Caenorhabditis elegans: one gene and its partners. Each later gene encodes a partner of the first gene's protein in a complex. Each region holds a gene or a part of one and is shown on either strand. Other genes may lie near its edges.

Region 1 (9,439 bases):
ATAGTTTTAGTTTCTATTATTTCAAAATGTCAAGAATTATAATGTTATTGCTAGTTTCTGGATTTTTGTGCAATAAGTTAACATCGATATATGTGTTTCCTATTCCAGAAGTTTTTCTCAAAGGTAATATTCTAATTCGTATAATTCACTTTTTGACAACGTTAAGAAATTTGAAAAAGTGCTCAAAACTATCATCAAATGGCAATGAAAAACTTTGACACAACAATGCGAAGTGGCGATACTTCTACAAAGTACAATATACAAAGTGCCGCCCGTTTAATTTCAGAGCTCCGTAACTAAAGTGTAACATTTTCCAGCACTCACCACTGGAACTGCAGTAAATGTTCATGCAACCACGGTGGAGTTATTCGCCTCAGCCCGTTCTACGTCAGTTGGGCAACTGGCATTTGCCACGTCATCTCAACAATTATTCATTCGTGTTACAAACGGATGGAAAGAAATTCAATTAACCCATTTCCATCCATTTGTAGAAACAAGACATTCAACGGTAAGATTTAGATTTTTTTCAATAGATCTTTGGTTTTTTTTAAATTCTCCATTTTTCTGAAATCCCGTTTTTGCTTTTTCATTTAAAACTTTTTAGCCAATTGAACTAGATTCTCGCTATTCACCTAATAGCATTGAGTTTTGGGTGAGTTCTTTTCGATGTTGTGATTGTTTTGTGTACTGTAATTGACTATTACTGCTGATTGTGAAGGGAAATTGAATTGCTTTCAAATATAATTCACTCGTAAATTTCGTATAGTGATGATAGTAATAATTTCAAAACAACTTGTTGGATTGAGCAAACCAATGAACCTTCACAACTTGCCGTCCATCTTAATTAAATATGTTTTCCAAAAAGATTCAAACCTTGATATCCTCTCAGAGCCGTCAAAATGGTCATAAATGTTCATCGCGACACCCGCGTAATTCAAATGTAACTTTTGGATATTAGTCATGTTGCTACAAATAGGAATCACCACTACAACATCAGCTATTCACATCCTTTAGTCATTTAGTTTAGCCCCCATTCTCCCTTATCACTTATCACATATTTCTTTCATTTTACCTAGGTTTTCAATAGTTTCAATAGGTTTTTGTAAAAGTCCTGTGAAGCAGCTGTGCAGCACAAATATATGTATTCTATACTACTTTTTAGTTACAACTTTTACAGCAAAACTCTCGACAAAACGATGCAAGTCACGCGGGAAGATCAAGAACTGGATCAGCAGCTGCTCCATGGTACCCAAAAGCAAATCTTGATGAACCACAGAGAGATGCGGGAGTTCATAATAAAGATCGAGTTGTTAGTATTCTGAATTTCTATAAGAATTTATTTTTCAAAGTATTTTCAGATTCATATGATTGCCCTGTCACAACCATTCTCTGGTAATCTTCACGGGCTCCGAGGAGCAGATCTTCAATGTTATCGTGAAGCTCGTGCAGCTGGATATACTACAACATTCCGTGCAATGCTTTCGAGTAATGTACAGGATTTGGTTAGAATTGTGCATTCCGTTGATTTTGACACAACTGTTGTGAATGTTGCTGGACATCATTTGTTCCCAAGTTGGAGATCATTTGTCAATGGAGCACAAATGAATCCTCATGCCAAACTTTTCTCATTCGATAGACATGATGTGCTCAACGATTCTAGATGGTCAGTTGGAATAACTTTTAGTACCAACAGAGTTTTGTTGACACAAGTTAAAACAGAACGGAAACGTGTAGGGCCTATCTTTATTTTTCTTTTAAGCTTATTAGTGACATCGAAATGTTGTCAATTTACAGTAGATAATTGTAGAAATTGGTCGGAAGTATAAGTAAGATAATTTCAAAATTCAGAGCTGTAGATGTTGATTGAAAGCTGTTAATTTTTATCAATAAAAAATGAACTAACCGTTTTCTTTATTTTGTTTTTTTTTAATCAGCTGATAAAATTTTTGTTATTTTTTCCTCTATAGTTTTGTAGTTGTAACTATTTGTTTAATATCTGTGAAATTCACCGAGATAAAAGTTTCCAAAGGAGTAATATGCAAGACTACAGTATAATCTCTTTTACTGTTGCACCCAATTGTTCAACTTTCAGTTGTCGTTTGTTCAATTCAAAGGTTGTCACTGTCAAAATATTTCTTAATTATTTTTCTACATCTTTGCAGATGATTATCTGTTAATATCTTCCAAATGAACCCAGATATAATTAATTAAAGTCAAGTAATTGGGTTCTAATAGAGAATATATGGTGGTAGAAGGAATACGGTATCAAAAATCAGAATAATGTCAAACTCATAATAACAAACAAATTCAGACTCAACAAGTTCCTTAATTTCAGGCCAGATAAGCGAGTTTGGCATGGATCCAAAGATGGTGGAATAAGAGCTGAACAATACTGTGATGGATGGAGAAGAGCCGATTGTAATTTTTGAGAAATTGAAGACAATTTTTAGAATATAATTTATTGCAGCATCTCTGACTTCTTTGGCAGGTCACATCTCATCGAATACAAGCATTTTCCAATCAAGTGGATCCGAAAAATGTGAAAATAAATTAGTGGTATTGTGTGTTGAGGTTCGTTTTTTATTTAAATTGAAGTGTTCAAACGATCGTTGTGAGACCATCAGAGAAAAAGAAATATTATTTCCAAACAGCTTTAAAATCTTAAAATTAAAATGTTTGCAGAACATGTCCAAGTATCACGGTGACCGAATTCTCCGCTTGCATCGAATCACATCCGACTTCAAAAAATGAACGACTTCCAATATAGAATTTCAATTTTAAAATTGTTTTAAATGATTATACCCCAACCTTACGATGAAAAAATCTCGAACCCCCCCTGAAAAACGGCTTCATTCACTCATTTTGCTTTGTTTTCTATTTTGAATTAAACCAAAAAAATCTTTCCGAATTTGATTTTGATAACTGCCACGTATTTTCTCAATTTTATTGTGAACGTATTTCAAAAAAATACAATTTACAAAGCCTTCAAATTACACATGACGAGCAATATTAGTTTGATGTGAGTACTATAGATACATACATGTTACAAATGAAATGTTTATCGATGATATTGTTGTTGCCATTGCTGTTGTTGCTGTTGATTTGGACCGGGTTGCTGTTGTCCCATTTGAGGGGGAGCCATTCCACGACCAGGCATATATCCTTGTGGTGGAACTCCTGGAGCACGCATGCCCATTTGCATTCCCATTTGTGGATTCATATATCCTTGAGGTCCTGGTCCAGGAACTGCTCCTGTTGGTTGTCCTGGTCGTTGTGGATAGTAGCCGGATGGTCCCGGTTGTTGCATCATTTGCACCATTGGTGGACCTTGTTGCGGGTGATAGTCTTGTGGAGCACCGTATGGAGGAGGCATCGGTGCATACTGCAATTGTAGAATTGAACATAAGAATTTGAAAAGTGGAGTATTGCCATAGGGAAAAATGATGAAAATCACTCCTATGATCTTAAAATGACCCAATATCCTAGTAACGCTTTTCAACAATTTTTCAAAATAGTTTTACCTACAGTAAAAAGTGAAAATTACTTCATCTACCATGATTTGGAAATAAACCAAAAATTATCAAAATTAGTTTCTATCTACTATTTTGCAACGATTAACGAATATTTCAAGAAATTTCAATTTTTGAAAGTTTGGCAATTTACCAACAAAAAAATTATAAATCATTTTACAAAAATTTGCAAATTCAACAATCAATCTATCAAAATTTGCGAAATTTGGAAATTTACAAAAACTTTGAAAATTTGAAATCCTTAATTATGATATTCAGCCATGTTATGTTTTTTATTATTATTTTCTAATTAAAAAGCTTACTCTTCCAACAGGAACATTTCCCATTCTCATCATTTTTGCTTGTGGTCCTTCATCCATTCCACCTTGCATTGGATCATGCATTCCTTGATATTGCATCTGAACAGAAAAAGTTAACTTTTCATTCTGAATATTTAGAAAACTGACATGATGCTGTTGTGGATGCTGTTGTTGCTGCATCATTTGATGTGGATGTCCATCTGGAGCAACAACTCCGGGATGTGCTCCACCCATTGGTGGTTGTCCCATCTGAGGTTGTACCATTTGAGGTTGTCCCATCATTTGTTGCTGTCCCATTTGTGGTTGTTGTTGCATTTGAACTTGTTGTTGTTGATGCTGTTGTTGTGCTTGATCTGGTGCAACCTGTAAAAGAATCTTGGGAACATTTGCAGTGTATTCAACAATTGATGCCCTTACCGTCATCTGCTGTTCCTTCTTCGCGTATGGAATTGGATATTTATTGAACACGTCGTCAGTCTCCCTTGGTGGTCTTTCCATTTTCTGCAAATGGTTTTTTCAAATATTATTCAAATTAAATTTCAAACGAACTCTAAAATAAATATCATTCATCGCTTCTTCACAACTGACACGTTTTGTAGGGTCAACTGTGAGCAATTTGACAAGTAATCTATATGGAGAGCTTTGTGAATTGATTTTCCATTTATCAAAGTATCGATGCAAGCTGTTTGGAAATGTTTGAATTGGTGTTCTGAAAATTGTTTATTTATAATTATGTAAAACTTTTTTAAAGCCGTTATATATTGCAATACAAATTCACACATCCGAAATTCTCTCAAATTCGGAAATGCCACAAAAAATGGAAAAAATCGCAAGAATGAAAAACCAACTTTTGAAATCGCGATTTTCAATTGTTTGAATTGCCACCTAAATGAGAACTGCGACCAATCAGCGACTCGTTTTTTAATCTTGGATTTTTAATTCTTTCGCGATTTTTTTTTCCTTTTTTTGTGGTATTTCCTAATTTGAGACTAATTCGGTTTCATTGAAGCCATTCACGCTACTGAAAAAAATAATGTGCCTTTAAGTAATCTATCAAAATAAATTTGAAAACTTTTATATTATAATTTACCCTTCATTTCTAGCATCGCTTAGAAGTCTTTGATGATCCGGCATTTTCTTCATATCAGGCCAATCAGCATCTGATGGGTATCCGAGTAGATGGAATATTCTTTAAAAATTTCGAATAGTTAATGATTTTAATTTCCAAAAAATCTGTACCTTTTCACTTGATCATAGTGATATGGATTTTGTGCCTTGATGTCTTCCTCTTTACAGAAAAATAATGGTTCAGCGGTAAGAAGTTCGGCAAAAATGCATCCGATAGCCCATACGTCAATAGCCTGAGATTATGCATTTTTTCCTTATTAAATAGATTTTTCAACGTACCTTTGTATAATGCTTTGCTCCGAGAAGCAATTCAGGTGCTCTGTACCAGAATGTGACAACTACTGGATCTAATTCAGCCATCGGTTTCAGAGGATTTGCATAGATTCTTGAAAATCCCAAATCAGCAATTTTTACCCTAGAATTATTATTTCATATTATCGCATAAATTTCAAATTCAGTCAAACCTTCCTCTCATGTCAGGTGGTCCATCACCCATTAATAGAATATTTGCTGGTTTGAGATCTCGATGTAGTACCCAGTTTGAATGTAAATAATGCATTCCTGAATATTTTAAAATACAGTTGAGTGAAATTGGATTTTAGAATTTCAAACCTGATAAAATTTGAAACAATATATTTTTGACCATATTCCGTGGCACCATAATTGGGACTTTCTTGCTTTTAGCTGTTCGATGATGTTTGATAACGTGCCAGAGATCGTGTTCAGCATAATCCAATAAAAGCCAGACTTTTTTTTCGTTGGTAAGAAATACACGTTGAAGACAGATTAAATTCGGATGCCTGAAACATTTTTTTTTTTTGAATATCTACTTCAGTTTTTTTTTCGAATTTTAGATTATAAAAAGGGGAAAATCTCGAATTCAATCTTCATTTTAAATTAATATTATTTAATCGGTGAAATTACCTTAATTCTCTGAATAGAGCAATTTCTCTGCATGCAGACATTGAAAATCCTTGTCCCTCAATCATTTTTAATGCGTATTCTTTGTTAGGAAATTGTCCATTTTGCTTTTTCGGAACTGCTTTATAAACTAATCCATATGTTCCTCTGCCGATTTCTTTTGAATTTTCAAAGTAGAAAAGGTCTTCTACTCTCTCTCGACGCTGTGCCAATTGTTTTTTGAAGTTTTCATCAATCATTAATCTGCAATAGGGATTTTCTGATTTATTTATAGTGCAAATTTCCAACTTACGTCATTTTTCAGTTACTACAGCGAATACTACTCAGTCTTTATGCCAGGAAAATCGATGTCCAGAAAAACGAAAATTAAAATTGAAGTGTACGGTAAGGAAGTCCGCAAACACTGCACCCACGTACTAAACACCAAATATCACGACATCTTCGTCGGTCTTCGTTTTCTAGCACTTTTTCTTGTGGCAAATTCTCGCCGAACGTCACTTCTTCTTCCCAAAGAACACAGCGTTAAGACTGAAAAATCAATAAATTAACTAATCAATAAATGCCACATGTCTAACAGACAAATAACTAGGAGGAATGCACATTCAGAGAGGATACTCTGGTTTGGCAGCGAATAACGCTTTCAATCGATCCTGTAACCGCGTTTGCCTCAAATCAGTTTAGAATGAACAAACCGAATATTGTATTTTGGATATTATTTTGTCTGAATTTAAAATAAACTGGTCGTCGGAAATAAATATTTCTTAACTTTTCCAGAATTTTCTAACATAAATCAAAAAATTCTTATGTTCTCACGAAGTCTCGCTCTCTCGTTGTTGCAGATTTTAGCATTTGTCGAGTTTTCAAAAGATAACAACTCAAATTTACAGGCCGATCAGTTCAAATGCAAATGGGTGATCATCAAATGATGGGAAACCAGAGGTATGAGTTGAATTAAAAAATAGCTTGTTCAGTTTTAGTTATTTGGATCAAGAAATCCAATAACAACACTCGAAAGATATTACAGAACTTACGTTCAAAAAGTGATGCCTGCACAAGCTGGTGGTGCAGTATCACAAAATGCCACGTATGTGCAAACGGCAGGAATTCGAACGGTTCATCACGACGGAAACGGACAGCAGAGGGTGAGATTTTGAAGAATATAATCAAATTTTGTTCGAGACAAGACATATGCTTGAATTTATGAATTAAAGTTTATTTCAGATAGTTCAACTACCCCCGGGAGTACGTCAGATTCAGCAAAATGGTGTCGGTCCTGCCTATGTTCGCCAAGTTCCTGGTGGTCAACCAATGCAAGTAAACTTTGGACATCCAGTAAGTCTTTATTATCAGTTTCTCAATCAACATAACAAATTCTAAGAATTGAAACAAAATTTCAAATTCACGAAACTATTTTAATTTTTCAAAAGAAATTGCAGGGAACGATAGCGGGTCGAAATGTTGCAGTTGGTGTTCAAATGCGACCTGTGCAAGGACATAACGTTCAACAAGGTTATCAGAGTAAGTTTTTAATTTTATTTAGAAAATTGATAGTCAATATTTAATTGATGTTATTCAAAACAAAATATTTTTTTTTTTAAATCGGTTTTATTTCAATTTATTTACGGTCTCCGGATGCCGTGTGTTTTATCAATAGAATACAAGTACTACGTATATCTAGAATCGCGTATATGTTTCTGCAATAATTAATTGTTTTATTGGAATAATATTCTAGACACAAATTAACTCTACATTTACATTTCGAATAACTCGATTTCTGATTTTTGAACGATTGAAGTTTCACATATTTTCCAAAAGGAAAAATTAAATATTGATTAAATTTTCACTGTTTTTGCAAACAAAAAAAAATCGAAAACAATCAAAATAATTCTGGAAAATTTCAAACTCGTGTGTTGGGTCTCACATTACGTGTTGTATAAGACATTCTTGTTTGAAAAACTGAAAAGAGTTTTAAATTTAATTCCAGGACAGCAAGTAGCAAATCAAATTCAACAACAAAATCGAGCTGTATTTATGGCACAAAATCAGCAAGGACAACAACAGATAAGCTATGCGCAAGCACAACATCGACAACAACAACAGGTATGTTTCATGATTATCATTTACTATCATTTACTATATATAAAGCGCGTGTCCTTCTGTCCCTATGTAGTTTGATCTCTGATCAGAGCAACGAAATTTTGGGAAACCTTATGCTAAATGCGCAACAGACATCGATCGAGGTCCGCGATAGACACCGTATATCTAATGTGTTTTCTCAAAAAAGTCGGGGGCCGCGCCGTAGGTGCGGTCCACGGCTGGTTCAGATATATTCACCAAAATTAATCAGAGGATATTACAGAATCAACAACAACACCACCAGCAACCACAACATTTTAATCATCCTTCTCAACAAAATCAAATGATTATGCAACATCGTCAACCACAAATGCACCATAATCAGCAACATCAAATGGTTCAACCACAAATGACACGTCATCAGATGGCCCAACACCATGCTCAGCAGCCACATCCGCAGATTTATGTGCCGCGTGACATGAATTTGGCAGTGCCACTGAGAGAACCCTCACCTGAGCCGGTAACAGATGAATGTACATTTTCATGTTTCATATCTACATTTTTCAGATTCCTGTCAAAATTGAGGTTCCAGATGTTCCTCCAGAAGGTACATCGGCTGCCAATGAGGAACCAATGCCAGATGATGGTGATATCGATATTCAGGTACTTTCTAACAGCAATCAATCATCAAAACTTGAAAATATTCCAGATTCGAAATGTTGTTTGTAATTATACACTCCCTTTGCACATTGATCTTCGAAAATTGGCAATGAACACTCATAACGTGACATATGAAAGAGAAAAAGGAGTAATGATGAAACAAAAAAGATCGCCTGGTTGTTATATCAAAGTATATAGTTCTGGAAAAGTATATATTGTTGGTTGCCGGAGTGAGGCGGATTGTAAACGAGCTGCACGTTCAATTGCCAGACATGTTCAGCGAGTTATGGGAAAAACGAAAGAACGAGTTTCGATTAGAAATTATCGAGCAAGTTTTGAAAAGTTTCAATTTATCTATTAAAAAAATTTATCTATTAAAAAAAAAATATTTAAAAAAAGTTCGCCTTCAAGAAGTACAGTAGCTTCCGCCATTTCCGATTTGTTTTTTTTTCTTTTAAAGATGTTTCATTTTTGTTAAAGTTATTACTTGTAAATTTAAATTAAATTGAAGAAAAGTGTAAAAATGTCAGTCGTGCAAACTAGTGTACTAAAATTATTTGACCGTGTATCGTAGTTTCACCAGATTTTTACATGCCTTTTTAAAGGCGCACGGATTTATTCAGAAAGGTCTCGGCACGCAAAATGTTTATGGTAATCTTTCTTTTTTTTTTGAAGTTTGAACATTTGGAGAGGCACCACGGTTTCAAGATCTGGTGGGGTTCCGGATCTACGTTTTGGTGCCAGATCTGGAAAACGTAGAACCGGAATCCACCAGATCTTGAAACCGTGGTGCCCCCATTTGGAAACAGATTTTTTAACAGAATT
Region 2 (6,467 bases), 5.9 Mb from region 1:
CGGCCATTTATCTTGCTTTGTTTTTCGCTTGTTTTCTTTTGTTTTTCACAGCTTTTTCCCGTTTTTTCTTATTAAAACTGATAAATAAATACTTTTTGCAGATGCTAAAACAATTTCCAACTGAAAAAATTATGTATTCAGTGGGCAAGCAGCTGTGAAAGTGGGCATTGTAATATGATGGATTACGGGAATACAAAACCTAAACTTTTTCTGAAACATGATACATATGCTGCTTAAATGCTGAGACTACCTGATTTTCATAACGAGACCGCTGAAAAAGTTTTGAGGTTTTCAAAATTCAACTTTTTGTGCGAAAATCTCGACTTTTTCACCAAAAAAGTTGAATTTTGGAAACCTCAAAACTTTTTCAGCGGTCTCGTTATGAAAATCAGGTAGTCTCAGCATTTAAGCAGCATATGTATCATGTTTCAGAAAAAGTCTAGGTTTTGTATTCCCGTAATCCATCATATTTGACCATTGACCACTTTCACCGCTGCTTGCCCACTGAATACACTTTTTTTTACTTGGAAATCGTTTTGGCATCTGCAAAAAATATTTATTTATCAGTTTTAATAAGAAAAAACGGGAAAAGGCTGTGAAAAACAAAAGAAAACAAGCGGAAAACAAAGCAAGATAAATTGCCGCTGAAACTTGTCGGCCCCTCGGCCATGGCCTAGAAACCAATTTTCCTCGTCTCTCGTGAGGAAAAAGTTGCAGTGAAATTCTAGATTCTAGCAAAAATCAGCAATTTTTCCCTGAAATTTCAAAGTTCCCGCGCATTTTGAGTCTAATAAAACAGTTTTATCGTAATTATCATCATATTCCCCTTGTTTGACCTTCATCTCTCTTATCAAAAACTACAACATACATATCTTCGTCCGTCTGCGTCTCTCACAACTAGTTATTGCAACAAAAAAAAAAACATTCAGAAGTGGTCATACTTTCATCCATAAATTCGTTTTCTTTTTCTGAAAACCACCTTCAAAATACAGAAAATCTCGTTTTTATCGAAATTTTGGCTTTAAAATAGTTTGAATTTCATTGATTTTTTTATTTTCTCGTTTTTGTAGGGAAATTTTCCTGTATATTATATTTTTAAATAAGTTTCATATAAAATTTTTATAGCTGTATATAAAGGAACATCGAATAGAAAAATAGATATTTTTAACTATTTTCTATAACTTAAAGGTAGAGTAGTCGAATTTTTTAAAATTTCTTTATTAGACTCAAAATTGTCTGAAAACACCGAATTTCATAATGAAATTTCTTGAAAACTTCTCAAAAAAAAGTTATGGCCTCTCGAAAATGGCCTAAAATTAGTGAAAATTTGAAATTTGACCAACTTAAATATCTTTGTCGCAGCAGCTGGAAACAAATTTTTTTTTGAAACTGTCGTCTATTTTTGAGTAAACAAGTAGATTATCTTGCGTTTTCAGTTTTATTAAGGTATTTAAAAGTCGATGGACGAAGAGATTTTTCAAATTTTTTTAATCAATTCTCTTCGTCCATCGACTTTAAATACCATAATAAAGCTTAAAACGCAAGATAATCTACTTGTTTACTCAAAAATAGACGACAATTTCAAAAAAAAATTGTTTCCAGCCGCTGCGACAATGATAAGTTGGTCAACTTCAAATTTTCACTAATTTTAGGTCATTTTTTGAGCGTCATAATTTTTTTTGGAAAAGTTTTCAAGAAGTTTCATTATCAAATTCGGTGTTTTCAGACAATTTTGAGTCTAATAAAGAAATAAAAAACTCAACTACACCACCTTTAAATCAAAATTTCACAAAAAATGGTTTTTTTCTAGAATGTTCCTCCGCGCCACTGAATCAATTCTCGGTTTGGGCCTTCTGGCTTACGGCCTTCTCGAAATCTCGAGAAATCCGACCTGGTGGGCCTATACGCCGGTCTACTTGGTCCCGGCGATCCTCTCCATCATTCAAATTCCACGGAACGCCACGTGGCGCACTCTCTCATCCCTCTCCATCGTCGCCGGCGGTCTCTACACGAGTTTTCTGCTGTGGACGTTCTCCTCTGTGGAATCTATACCGACGATCGATTTGGAAGAAGAAGCCAAGAACCTTCCGCCGGTAATATATTATTGATTTTTATTCTTAAATGATTCAATAAAAATCGTTCCAGGTAGCCCTTGGAGCCCTGCTGATCAGCTTCATCCGTCTCACACAGGATAAGATCTCCCAGCCGGTGCATTATGTCAGATCTTCGATTATTCTCGCTGTCGCTCTCATTAGTTTTTACGCTTTTATTTCATATTTTTAGTTTTCTTTTCCTCTGAAAAATAAATATTATTAGCTTTACAATGTAATTTCCTTCGGAAGTGAGGACAAAATCGCGGTTATCGAATCGCGAAGCTTCGAGAATTCTCCATTTTTCATTAGAGCTAGAGCTCCTGGAGCATCAGTGAGCGGTTGACCGAAATAACCGATTTTGCAGGTACTAATCTGAAAGATAGCTTTATTGTTTTGGTAAAATCCCGTATTCAACGCACTTGATCCTCTGCAACACCAATGTCGATTGTTACATCAGGATTTCTGATTGAAAATCCACTATTTTGAGTTGAAAACACGCAATGTTCTCTGAAAAAAAAATTATTTATAAAATTTTTAATTTAAAAAAAATTTAAAAAAGCACTCACCCTAGGCCTTCAGATAATTGTTGAACTTTTCGAGCAATAGTAGCATCATTATCAATTGGTAAATGCTCTTTCATAAAAACCAGAGAGCCAAGAACGTCGAGACGGGTTCGTGCATCGAGTGTTTGCCTTTTCTCCTGAAAATTTGATTTTTTTTTCAATGAAAAACGGTGGAGATTGCAGTTACCAGCAAATTCCTCCTGACAGATCTCGCAAAATGCTCCCATCCCAGCTTTTCTGCGCTTTGGCGGACATTTTCCATTCGCAAATCTCGATCGATCGACTCCAGGTTTAACTCATGATTTTTCCTCTCTTCAATTATCATGGTAGGTTTCGCTACCTGAAAATCGATAAATATTTAATTATTTGCTGTTTAATAATATAAAAATTGAGAAATTTTAACGAGAAACCCATTAAAAATGCAGTTTAAAATAGAAAATCGGTGCAAAAAATATTTTGTTTTGCTGCGAACGACACTCCGTTATAACGCGGCGCGTGTTGTTTAGCAGGCGGATTTTAGGCCACAGCCACTGGCATCAATTGGCGGGTGTTTGAATTTAGATAATTCGTCTCAGGGTTTAAAACCGGTTTTCTGCAGAAAAAATCGATTTTCAAGTTATATTTTATTAACAAAAATACATCATGTTTCATTAATAATCTACAAACAAAATCAATTTATTCATCATCCTCGTGGTGTCTGGTGCGGTGGCGGCGGAGAGTCTTGATATCTTGATCCCGTTGGGCCATTTGTTCAGCAGCCTGGTCACGGTCACGGCGGTATTCTTTGTAGTTCTGAAAAAGAGAAGGAAATGTGATTTTTAAAAAAAAACGTTGTTTGAGCTCAATTGAGAGGAAAGGTCTTGGCGCGAGCGTTGCAAAATTAAACGTGCGCACGGGGTTCTGGCCTTCCTCATTGAATTTTTCGCGCTCCATTGACAATCGCCTGCCGGAAAACACGTGGGAAAGTACTCCACACGGGCAAATACATTTAGTTTTACAACTAAAATCGAGCCGCGACGCGACACGCAACGCTCCGTAAATCTATGCCAGATATGGCCGAGCCTAAATGACCTAGTTCGGCAAACTCTTCCATTTCAATTTATGAGGGAAGCCAGAAATCCGTGGAAAAGATTAAAAAAAGGAGATTTTCAACTAAAAATACATGGTTTTTTTCTTTAAAAATTCGAAAAATCGATGGCCTAGTTTTTTTTGAGTCCTAGGCCACCTACCAAATACGCCTGGGGTCTCTGCCCATTGCTGGCGCGAACACAGTAGAACAAGTCGTGAAGGCAAGTTGGAAGATATGTCTGTTGAAGCCCAATGTTCACAATATTATCGGCTCTGAAAAAAAACAAGTTTTATTATTAATTTTAAAAAAATTTAAATTTACCTGTTATATGGATAATGTCCACCTTTTGCAAATTTATAATCATTCTCAAGCTGTGCCATACTTGCCGGCCGTCCGTCGAAGAATCCGAGATAAGTTGGTGGATAGTAATTCGGGTAGTACCAGTTACCGAACTGCCCGTAGTCTCTGGCGGTATTCTCATTATAGTAGATATACTTTGGCAGGACTCTCGGCGAGTTTTCGTAGGTCCTCTGGTAGAATGTGTCGGCGACCTGGCGGTTGGTGGTGTCCGCCAGTTTTCCCGGCCCGGGGCCTCCGCCGCTGAAATTGCAGTCCGCGACGAACTGAAAGTTGGGAAGGTTGCACATCATTTTTCGAGTCTCGCAGCGAATTATAACTTAGTCTTGACACGACAATTATCACGTGGTGTCAAAGTGCCCCAAATGCGGGAGAAGAGACGCAGACTTTTAAACTAATTTCGCATAGTTAAGAGTGTGCTGAGAGAAAAATTCCAGCATTTTTTGTAGATCAAACCGTCATGGGACAGCCTGACACCACGTGAATTATTGGTTAAATGGAAATGAACTGTGCGCCTTTAAAGATTACTGTAGTTTCACCGATTTCCCATAGATTTTCTCACGATTTTTCAAAGTTTAAGAGTTTTCATAATATATTTTTATCGAAAAAAAAATCGCTGGAAATTTAGCAACAAAAGTAGATTGTGTCGAGACCGGGTACCGTATTTTCGGTACAAAAATTGCAAGTTATTGCGACTAACTAATATTACAAAGCCGCAGAGAGTTGTCTGTTGAAGAGACGCATACATATCGGGACCCAAGGGGCGTGGCGCGGGAAGAGCCAAAATTGTGTAGATTTACGGAGATCCACCTTGTAAATTTACACGATCTTGGCTCCCCATATATCTGAGTTCCCTGTAAATACCACGCCCACAAAACTGTGCCCATCTGAGCTCAAAAATTCAGATTTCCCATATTTGTGTGACTCGTGGCAAAAATTGAATTTTCCGCAACGTTCAAGGTTCTATGGGCAGATTTAGATTCTCCCGATCAAGATTCCCCGATTCGGAGCACAACGTGGAGCAGACCGCTCGCCTTCAGGACACTAGGGCTGTACAAATCGGCGTCCGGTCGTCCGATTTTGACACCACCGGACGCACTGCGTCCGGTTTTGGGGTAGGTTTCCACGGCGGCCGACAATTTCCGAGTTTCGCCACTCACTATACTTAATCAGCAATTTTATAGTGAGTGGCGAAACTCGGAAATTGTCGGCCGTCGTGGATAGCTACCCCCAACCGGACGCATGTGCGTCCGGTTCGGACGACCGGACGTCCGGTTGTACAGCCCTACAGGGCACAGAAAAATGGGCGTGACCTTTCCGAATCTCCACCTACCTGTACAACATCTTCACATGACATATCCCTTGGTCTTGGCTGAACCTTGTCACAATTGTTCTTGGACCACGAGAGCAGTGTCTCCGGAAGCGGATTCCATCGTTCGGCGAATTTCGCGAACGAGGCGCACATTCTGGCGGATGGAGCTGCTGTTAGCAGTGCCACGTGGCATGAGAAAATTAATATGAGATGATTGAACATCTGGAATTTTGAAAGTAGATTTTGATTTGGAAGCGATTGAATCGAAAAAGTGACCATTGAACAATAATGGAGATCATAAGGTAATGGGTAAAGAAAAACAGAAGAATGATAGAAAAAAGGATGAGAAGAAGGTGTAATCAGACGGGAAACGATTGATTAAGAATCACAAATTTTTGATGAGAAGACGGTTTGAACACACTACGAGACTACAAATTGACGGAAATTGACAAAAAATGTTGACTGTGGCTTTATAAAAAATACGTATAATAAATACATTTAAAAATTAATTGTCATATATTTTTTCTACAAGTTGAAATTCAAAATTTATTGATATGATTACAAAAATTATCCAAGATAGTAGCCAAGAGTCGGTAAATTCAAATTAGAGACATGGTGTTTCGACTTTTTTTTTTCAAAAACCAGCCAAAAGGTATTTACTGCAATTTCTTATAAAAATTGCCTTGCTCGAAACTTCAGCGGCTTATTTCTTGGCTACTTTTGATCTTAACCTAAAGTTTTTAACTAAAAAAATGTTTTAGAACCAAAATATAAGCTGCTAAAGTAGAACGAGGAACATGGTGCATCGACCGGTTCGACAGCTTATATCTCGGTCATTTTTGATTTTCACAAAAAAGTATCAACTGACAAAATGTTTCTCATGTTTTATTTTACAGTTTTACAGTTTAAAATTTATAGATATCTTATTAATGAACCAAGATATAAGCGGCCAAAGTAGAATGGGGAAAAACGAGGAACATGGTGCATCTACCGGTTCGACAGCTTATATCTCGGTTATTCTTAATTTTCACAGAAAAAAATCAACTGGCAAAATGTTTTCCATGATTTGTTCT
Region 3 (5,257 bases), 260 kb from region 1:
GAAGAAACCATGCGAACCAGACTTCGATTGTTAATTTGAATACAGATGAAATGGTATTACATTTGAAATTATTTAGGCTAGAAGTTCGCACAGGACAGCATCAACTAATCGATGGTCATGACTTCACATCTTTCCAATTTTCCGATGAAGAAGTTCTTCGTGCTGTTCCAGTTGGATTCCCCGCTATCAAGCCCGAGGACCGTGATCTGTTCGCTGCTTCTTATCGTAGTTTCTTCATCAATTTTTTCACTTCTACAACTGAATTCCGTGCTGCTACAAGCCGGAAGAAGAAAGAGATATGCAGCAACGACGACTCTACTCTACTCGAGACAACAGCTTTCCGTAATCAGACATTTGTCAACGACGTTACAATTGTTCCCAATACAAGATTTTCGAATAGAAAGTAAAATCTTAACCTAACTTTCCAAATATTCTCTGATTTCTGTCCAGGCTTCGAAAAAATTCACGGTTCTGTAAAATGTAGGTTTCAATTTCAATAAAGTGGTGATGAAGTTTTATTTGATTTACATTTTTTATGTTTATTTTTCTTTCTTTGAAACGGTAGAAGTTGTGGAATTCTTTTCGGCTGTGTCAGCATCCGGTTTCTTCATCGTTTCCTCATCATCTTCATCCTCTGTGTCCTTTTGTCGAATATCAGCTTCATCTTCAGATTCTTCAAGCTCTTGTCCCTCATCAGGCATCATACACAAACGATGCCGTTTCCGAAGATAAAACTGCCATTGGAGAACCACTTGATCTTCTACGAATTTCGCGCTTGGTCCTGAAAATAAGTTACTATTCTTCTGATAGATTAAATAAAATTTGAACTACCGTAAGCCATCGAATCGCGAAATTGCTGACTCTGCAGTGCTTCAAGCATGTGCAGACATTGAGGAAATTTCAAGCATCTGGCATATTGAGGATCTTTCCAATAGAGAAGATATTTGAGATAGTTGACAAAATATTCTTCTTTGAAATAACCACGTTGCGCGAGAACTGGAAAATATGAAATTTGCAGGAAAAAGAGTGCATAAAAAAACAAGAAACTTAGAATAAAAATACGTTTTTCTCTATTCTCGGCTAGTGTATGTGAATAAACTCACAATTAAGATAATTTGGATTTGCAAGAGCCTGCACGAATTCACATTCAACTTCAAATCTCGTCTTTTCACTTTCTACACTCTCCATCTGCATTGTATTGTAGCCTGAAGAAAAAAAAATGGAATTCAAGCTTCGAAAAATTACAGAAATTTACAAAATTTTGATATTATGACCTTTTTTCACCTATACGGTGAAATCCGTACTACGAAATGAGTTAAATATATTATTCCAATGGAAACATACCGTATCGATTGAAACTAAAACGACCCATGCCTATAAAACCATTTTATTAGAAAAAGAAAAACAAATTTAACAGATGGTGTTCATAAAGAGCTGAGATTGTTAATAAAACAAAAGTGAAATAATCTTAGGAGATCAACTTTTAATGGGTTCAGTTTAAAAAAGTGATGTAAAACTGCACAGGAGAGGATGACATAGAGTTGGGTAAAATAGTTATATTGTTCAATAATAGAATATTCAATCTAACTCCACTTTGAGCGAAATATTACTCTCCGTATCGATCGAGACGTGACTTGGAGTGGGTGTACCTGCAGATGAACGCGGTGGACGAGCAGGACGCGCTGCAACTGTCGCAACGGTCTGAAAAATATACTGTTTCATTGAGGACTATGAGAAAAATATAGATAATAGTACCGCAAGGATTACTAGGGGTAAAAGTTTAATTTTAGTGTCACATCTCACCTCTCCAATCTTCCTTTTCATTCTGATTTTCTTCGCAGAATTCTTGTCCAGATTAGCCAACAACTCGGTGGTATCGATTTTCATGCCGTTCTGAAAAAAAACAACGTCTAGCAGTGGAGACAACGCAAAAAACTTTACATTTAGTTCTCTAGAGATTGAAGTTGGAGTAACATAGATCTCGTCATCAGGCATCCGGCGTCGTCTTATTTGGTCACAGGTAACTTGTTGTTCTTCATCGCAGGCGCGTTCCTCTGCAAGACAGCGCACAAGCCGCTTGGTTTCATCAGACGACGATTCACGAGCAATTCCAAGACGCATTGGTTCGAGAAGAATCGAACGCATTCGAGCCTGAAAAATTATCAAAAATAAAAATAAGAATATAATATATTCACTTACATAAAAATTCGCATACTCTTTACTATTGGTGACCTCATCAGACAACCCGATATGCATACGTCTGTCTCCGTCGAGGCCCTCTCTCTCGTCGTTTTTGAAGTTGAATTGTTGAGCCAGAGAGACATCAAGAGGGTAAAAGTGTTCAGCAGAAAGACGATTCAATCCAGAACGGGCTTTTTGAAGCATTTTGTGAAGATCGAATGATGCAGCAGTCGGAGGAAGAGTTGACTTGGCTGGGCAATGTACATCATTTTGATTGCATGACTTTGAGTTAACATGTAAATACCATTCAGCGACTTCTTTTGACTTGTTTATGACCATCTGTGAGAATTTTAATGTGAATTTTCATTAAACTTTATTTTCTCTATTCTGACTCACATTCTCCACAAATCTTTTAGCGTATTTCGGCGCTGTGAAGCGATGTTCATTCCAAAACTTAGTGCCCCATTCTTTTACGTCGTGAGCACGAATTACAGAGCACAACGACTCCACAATGACCATTTGCTTTTCATCTTCAGCATCATTTGGATCAAATGTTGGCATTGTTTCTGGATCCAAATCGATCTTAATCGGACGAACACGACATCCGATTTGATCCACGTTCTGAACATTTTTCAATGGGTTAATATTCTGTACAATTAATTTACCTTTCTAAACTGTCGAGCCTCGTAGTAACGCGTCAAAGTCTTGCTTCTTTCTATCATGTAACGAACATCACTGAAAAACAAAATGTAATTAAAATATGGTGTTTTTTTTTTGGTTTTCAACTAACACTTCCGTGATTGTGAGCGATGAGAGAATTTCACTGGAGTGTAGTTCTTTGTCGATTTCGGCTGCATTTTTGTGCTTTTGAACAATTTCGTTGATTTTATCTTGGATTTTTTGATAATCCGGCTTATTCTTCAGAGCTCGAATTCTAGCGGCGGCCTGCAATAATAATAATAATAATAGTAATAATAAAAATATGAGTTTTAAAAAATTTATTTTTGATCTTACTGGTCTCTCCAAGGCAGATACACGTTTGTAAAATTCTTCGGGAGTCTCATTCATATCCGGATTTTCGTTGGCGAATTTCTCATAAACTTCTTTCATGAGTTCATTTGGAATCTGCTCCGCTTCCACAATATCTTCTTGCTCCAGCTCGTCCTCTTCAGGAGCACGTCTTCCGGATTTCATGGCATCGACCGCGTTGCAGAATCCGGCAGCCAACTGAAATTTTTATTAATCATTGCTTTTATTTAAGTGAATTTTTAAAAAGATTTTTCACAATAAAACCAAAAAACTCACTCTCAACTTGGCTGCAATTAACTGCAAATATCGTCTTCTCAACTGTCTCGATGTCTTTTTTGGCAAGAGCATCTGACATTTAGCCCAATTTCCTTTTCCAAATACTTTTACCGCATACAAAAGTTGTTCGTCTTCAACCAGCGTGAACCGTTCGTTGACATGAGCTGAACGATTCAACACATTCGTCCAGCGTTCGCGGCATTGAGAATCGTTACGATTTTGCACCGCCTGAGCAACTTTTGCCCAATCTTTTGCTCCATATCGTGAAACTGCACAGACAAGAAGCTAAACGATATGTTTGTTAATTGCTTAAAATTTAAATCTAAATATGAATGTTTTAAATTTCCAACACACAATAATCGTGGAATGATGTTTTTACTGCTAATTTACATTAATTATACATACCACATCTTCTTGATCAGTCCATCTTCCATGCTTAACCGATGCATCGAGAGTATGCGAGAATCTAGTTCTGACTTGTTGACGAGTTCTTCCAGGCATACATTGTGCAACTTTATCCCATTGAATATGTCCGTTGATCGATGTAATTTTTGTGAGCGCAATTAACTTGGTGTCTTCGTCTTGAGACCATTCTCTGAAATATTCAAAATTACACACATTTTGAAAACGAGCTTCTCACTTTGAATGTTGAGACACTTCGGTTTTGTACTTTTCCATACATTGATAAGATGTTCGATTTGTACCGAGATTCAGAGCCAGCATCGGCCAGGAGACAAACTTTGGACTTTCTCGAAGGTATTTCAGCTTTTCTACTTCTTCATTTGACCAATGTTCTTTGTTCCACTTTGGATTCAATTCATTGTACCATTTCGATTTCACCGCCCATTCCGTTCTAGAGCCTTTGAACTGAAATAATAGTTTTATTTAATTAAACTTCACAAACAGGAAGTTTTTGAATTAATGAAAGTTTAAACATACGTCGAAGTTGGCTATTGCAGTCCATGGAACAACGGTATAATCAGCCGAAGCAGTCAATACTTCTTCTTCACTTTTTTCTCGAACATAGGCAATTTTTCTCATCAAATCTTCCAGCTCCATAGTCCATTGACGTCGATCGAAATTCGATGTAGTGATATCAGCGTCTCGAAGTTTTGAGGCAACGATATCTCGTCTAGAACACCACGGTTGAACCTGATGAGCCACCAATGCGTTTTTAACAGATGTCCGGAGTGTTTTTATTTCAGATGGTGTCCATTTTTTCTCCTCTTTCATCATTGGGTCGAACCATTTTAAGACTTGCTTTTCGCGAGCCTCTGAGCTCATTGGTGGGTACATGTTATTATCATCTTTAAAATATGGTGGCATATACAAGTGAACGGGAACTTTGCGTTTTGTAATGTCAGCACGATTGTACAAACGATATTCCTCCTTCAATTGTTGTTGTCGCTTTAAATTGTCGTCTAAATGTTGCTGAACAGAAAGAAGAGCCGAATCCAAGATTTCCACATAAGTTTCATTGACATTCATGAGCCCTTCGAAAGTGTCACATTCGAGTGCATCAACCACTTGTGTTGTCGACTGAAACAATTTTAGATACATTATACAACCCAAGTTATAAAAGCCATACCATTGCAGTTTGATCCGTATTTGTGGGCACATCCGTACTCGTACTTGCTCCTGGCTCAAACATTACCAAATCCGACATACCGTGGTTTTCTAGGTTTGTTTAATTACTGAAAGGTTACATTCAAGGGACATATCGGCGGAAACGAGAAACAAAAAATCATAACACGTGTCTCAATATTTTAAA

Evidence for each region. The genes of interacting proteins can lie anywhere in the genome.
Region 2: cdk-8 (region 1) and sop-3 share a complex: the UniProt entries of both Caenorhabditis elegans proteins name them as parts of the mediator complex.
Region 3: cdk-8 (region 1) and mdt-31 share a complex: the UniProt entries of both Caenorhabditis elegans proteins name them as parts of the mediator complex.

The regions. Positions count from the first base shown.
Region 1 is NC_003279.8:8,699,298-8,708,736, reverse strand, and holds cdk-8 (Cyclin-dependent kinase 8), read right to left. Parts: upstream 6,272-9,439; 5' UTR 6,176-6,271; coding exon 6,171-6,175; intron 6,122-6,170; coding exon 5,882-6,121; intron 5,758-5,881; coding exon 5,570-5,757; intron 5,519-5,569; coding exon 5,422-5,518; intron 5,373-5,421; coding exon 5,237-5,372; intron 5,191-5,236; coding exon 5,069-5,190; intron 5,019-5,068; coding exon 4,920-5,018; intron 4,539-4,919; coding exon 4,379-4,538; intron 4,331-4,378; coding exon 4,247-4,330; intron 4,193-4,246; coding exon 3,977-4,192; intron 3,929-3,976; coding exon 3,833-3,928; intron 3,383-3,832; coding exon 3,059-3,382; 3' UTR 2,912-3,058; downstream 1-2,911. Other genes in the region: cle-1 (Fibronectin type-III domain-containing protein), read left to right, coding at 318-508, 1,178-1,309, 1,359-1,663, 2,336-2,418, 2,468-2,571, 2,683-2,751; tlf-1 (TATA box-binding protein-like 1), read left to right, coding at 6,780-6,817, 6,894-7,020, 7,100-7,210, 7,315-7,396, 7,863-7,978, 8,238-8,474, 8,522-8,617, 8,664-8,942. UniProt on the Caenorhabditis elegans protein: Component of the Mediator complex, a coactivator involved in regulated gene transcription of nearly all RNA polymerase II-dependent genes.
Region 2 is NC_003279.8:2,773,102-2,779,568, forward strand, and holds the start of sop-3 (Mediator of RNA polymerase II transcription subunit 1.1), read right to left. Parts: upstream 3,001-6,467; 5' UTR 2,982-3,000; coding exon 2,844-2,981; intron 2,794-2,843; coding exon 2,660-2,793; intron 2,601-2,659; coding exon 2,513-2,600; intron 2,466-2,512; coding exon 2,323-2,465; intron 2,321-2,322; exon of another isoform or gene 2,284-2,320; coding exon of another isoform or gene 2,146-2,283; intron 2,094-2,145; coding exon of another isoform or gene 1,812-2,093; exon of another isoform or gene 1,811-1,811; intron 1-1,810. Other genes in the region: Y71F9B.1 (uncharacterized protein), read left to right, coding at 1,812-2,093, 2,146-2,283; Y71F9B.13 (NADH dehydrogenase [ubiquinone] 1 beta subcomplex subunit 7), read right to left, coding at 3,332-3,448, 3,886-3,997, 4,047-4,348, 5,416-5,547. UniProt on the Caenorhabditis elegans protein: Component of the Mediator complex, a coactivator involved in the regulated transcription of nearly all RNA polymerase II-dependent genes.
Region 3 is NC_003279.8:8,962,245-8,967,501, reverse strand, and holds mdt-31 (Mediator of RNA polymerase II transcription subunit 31), read right to left. Parts: upstream 1,389-5,257; 5' UTR 1,373-1,388; coding exon 1,345-1,372; intron 1,206-1,344; coding exon 1,104-1,205; intron 997-1,103; coding exon 832-996; intron 782-831; coding exon 540-781; 3' UTR 501-539; downstream 1-500. Other genes in the region: spd-2 (Spindle-defective protein 2), read left to right, coding at 1-29, 77-407; snpc-4 (snRNA-activating protein complex subunit 4 homolog), read right to left, coding at 1,579-1,701, 1,756-1,893, 1,942-2,151, 2,200-2,520, 2,578-2,802, 2,847-2,916, 2,972-3,126, 3,196-3,408 and 5 more. UniProt on the Caenorhabditis elegans protein: Component of the Mediator complex, a coactivator involved in the regulated transcription of nearly all RNA polymerase II-dependent genes.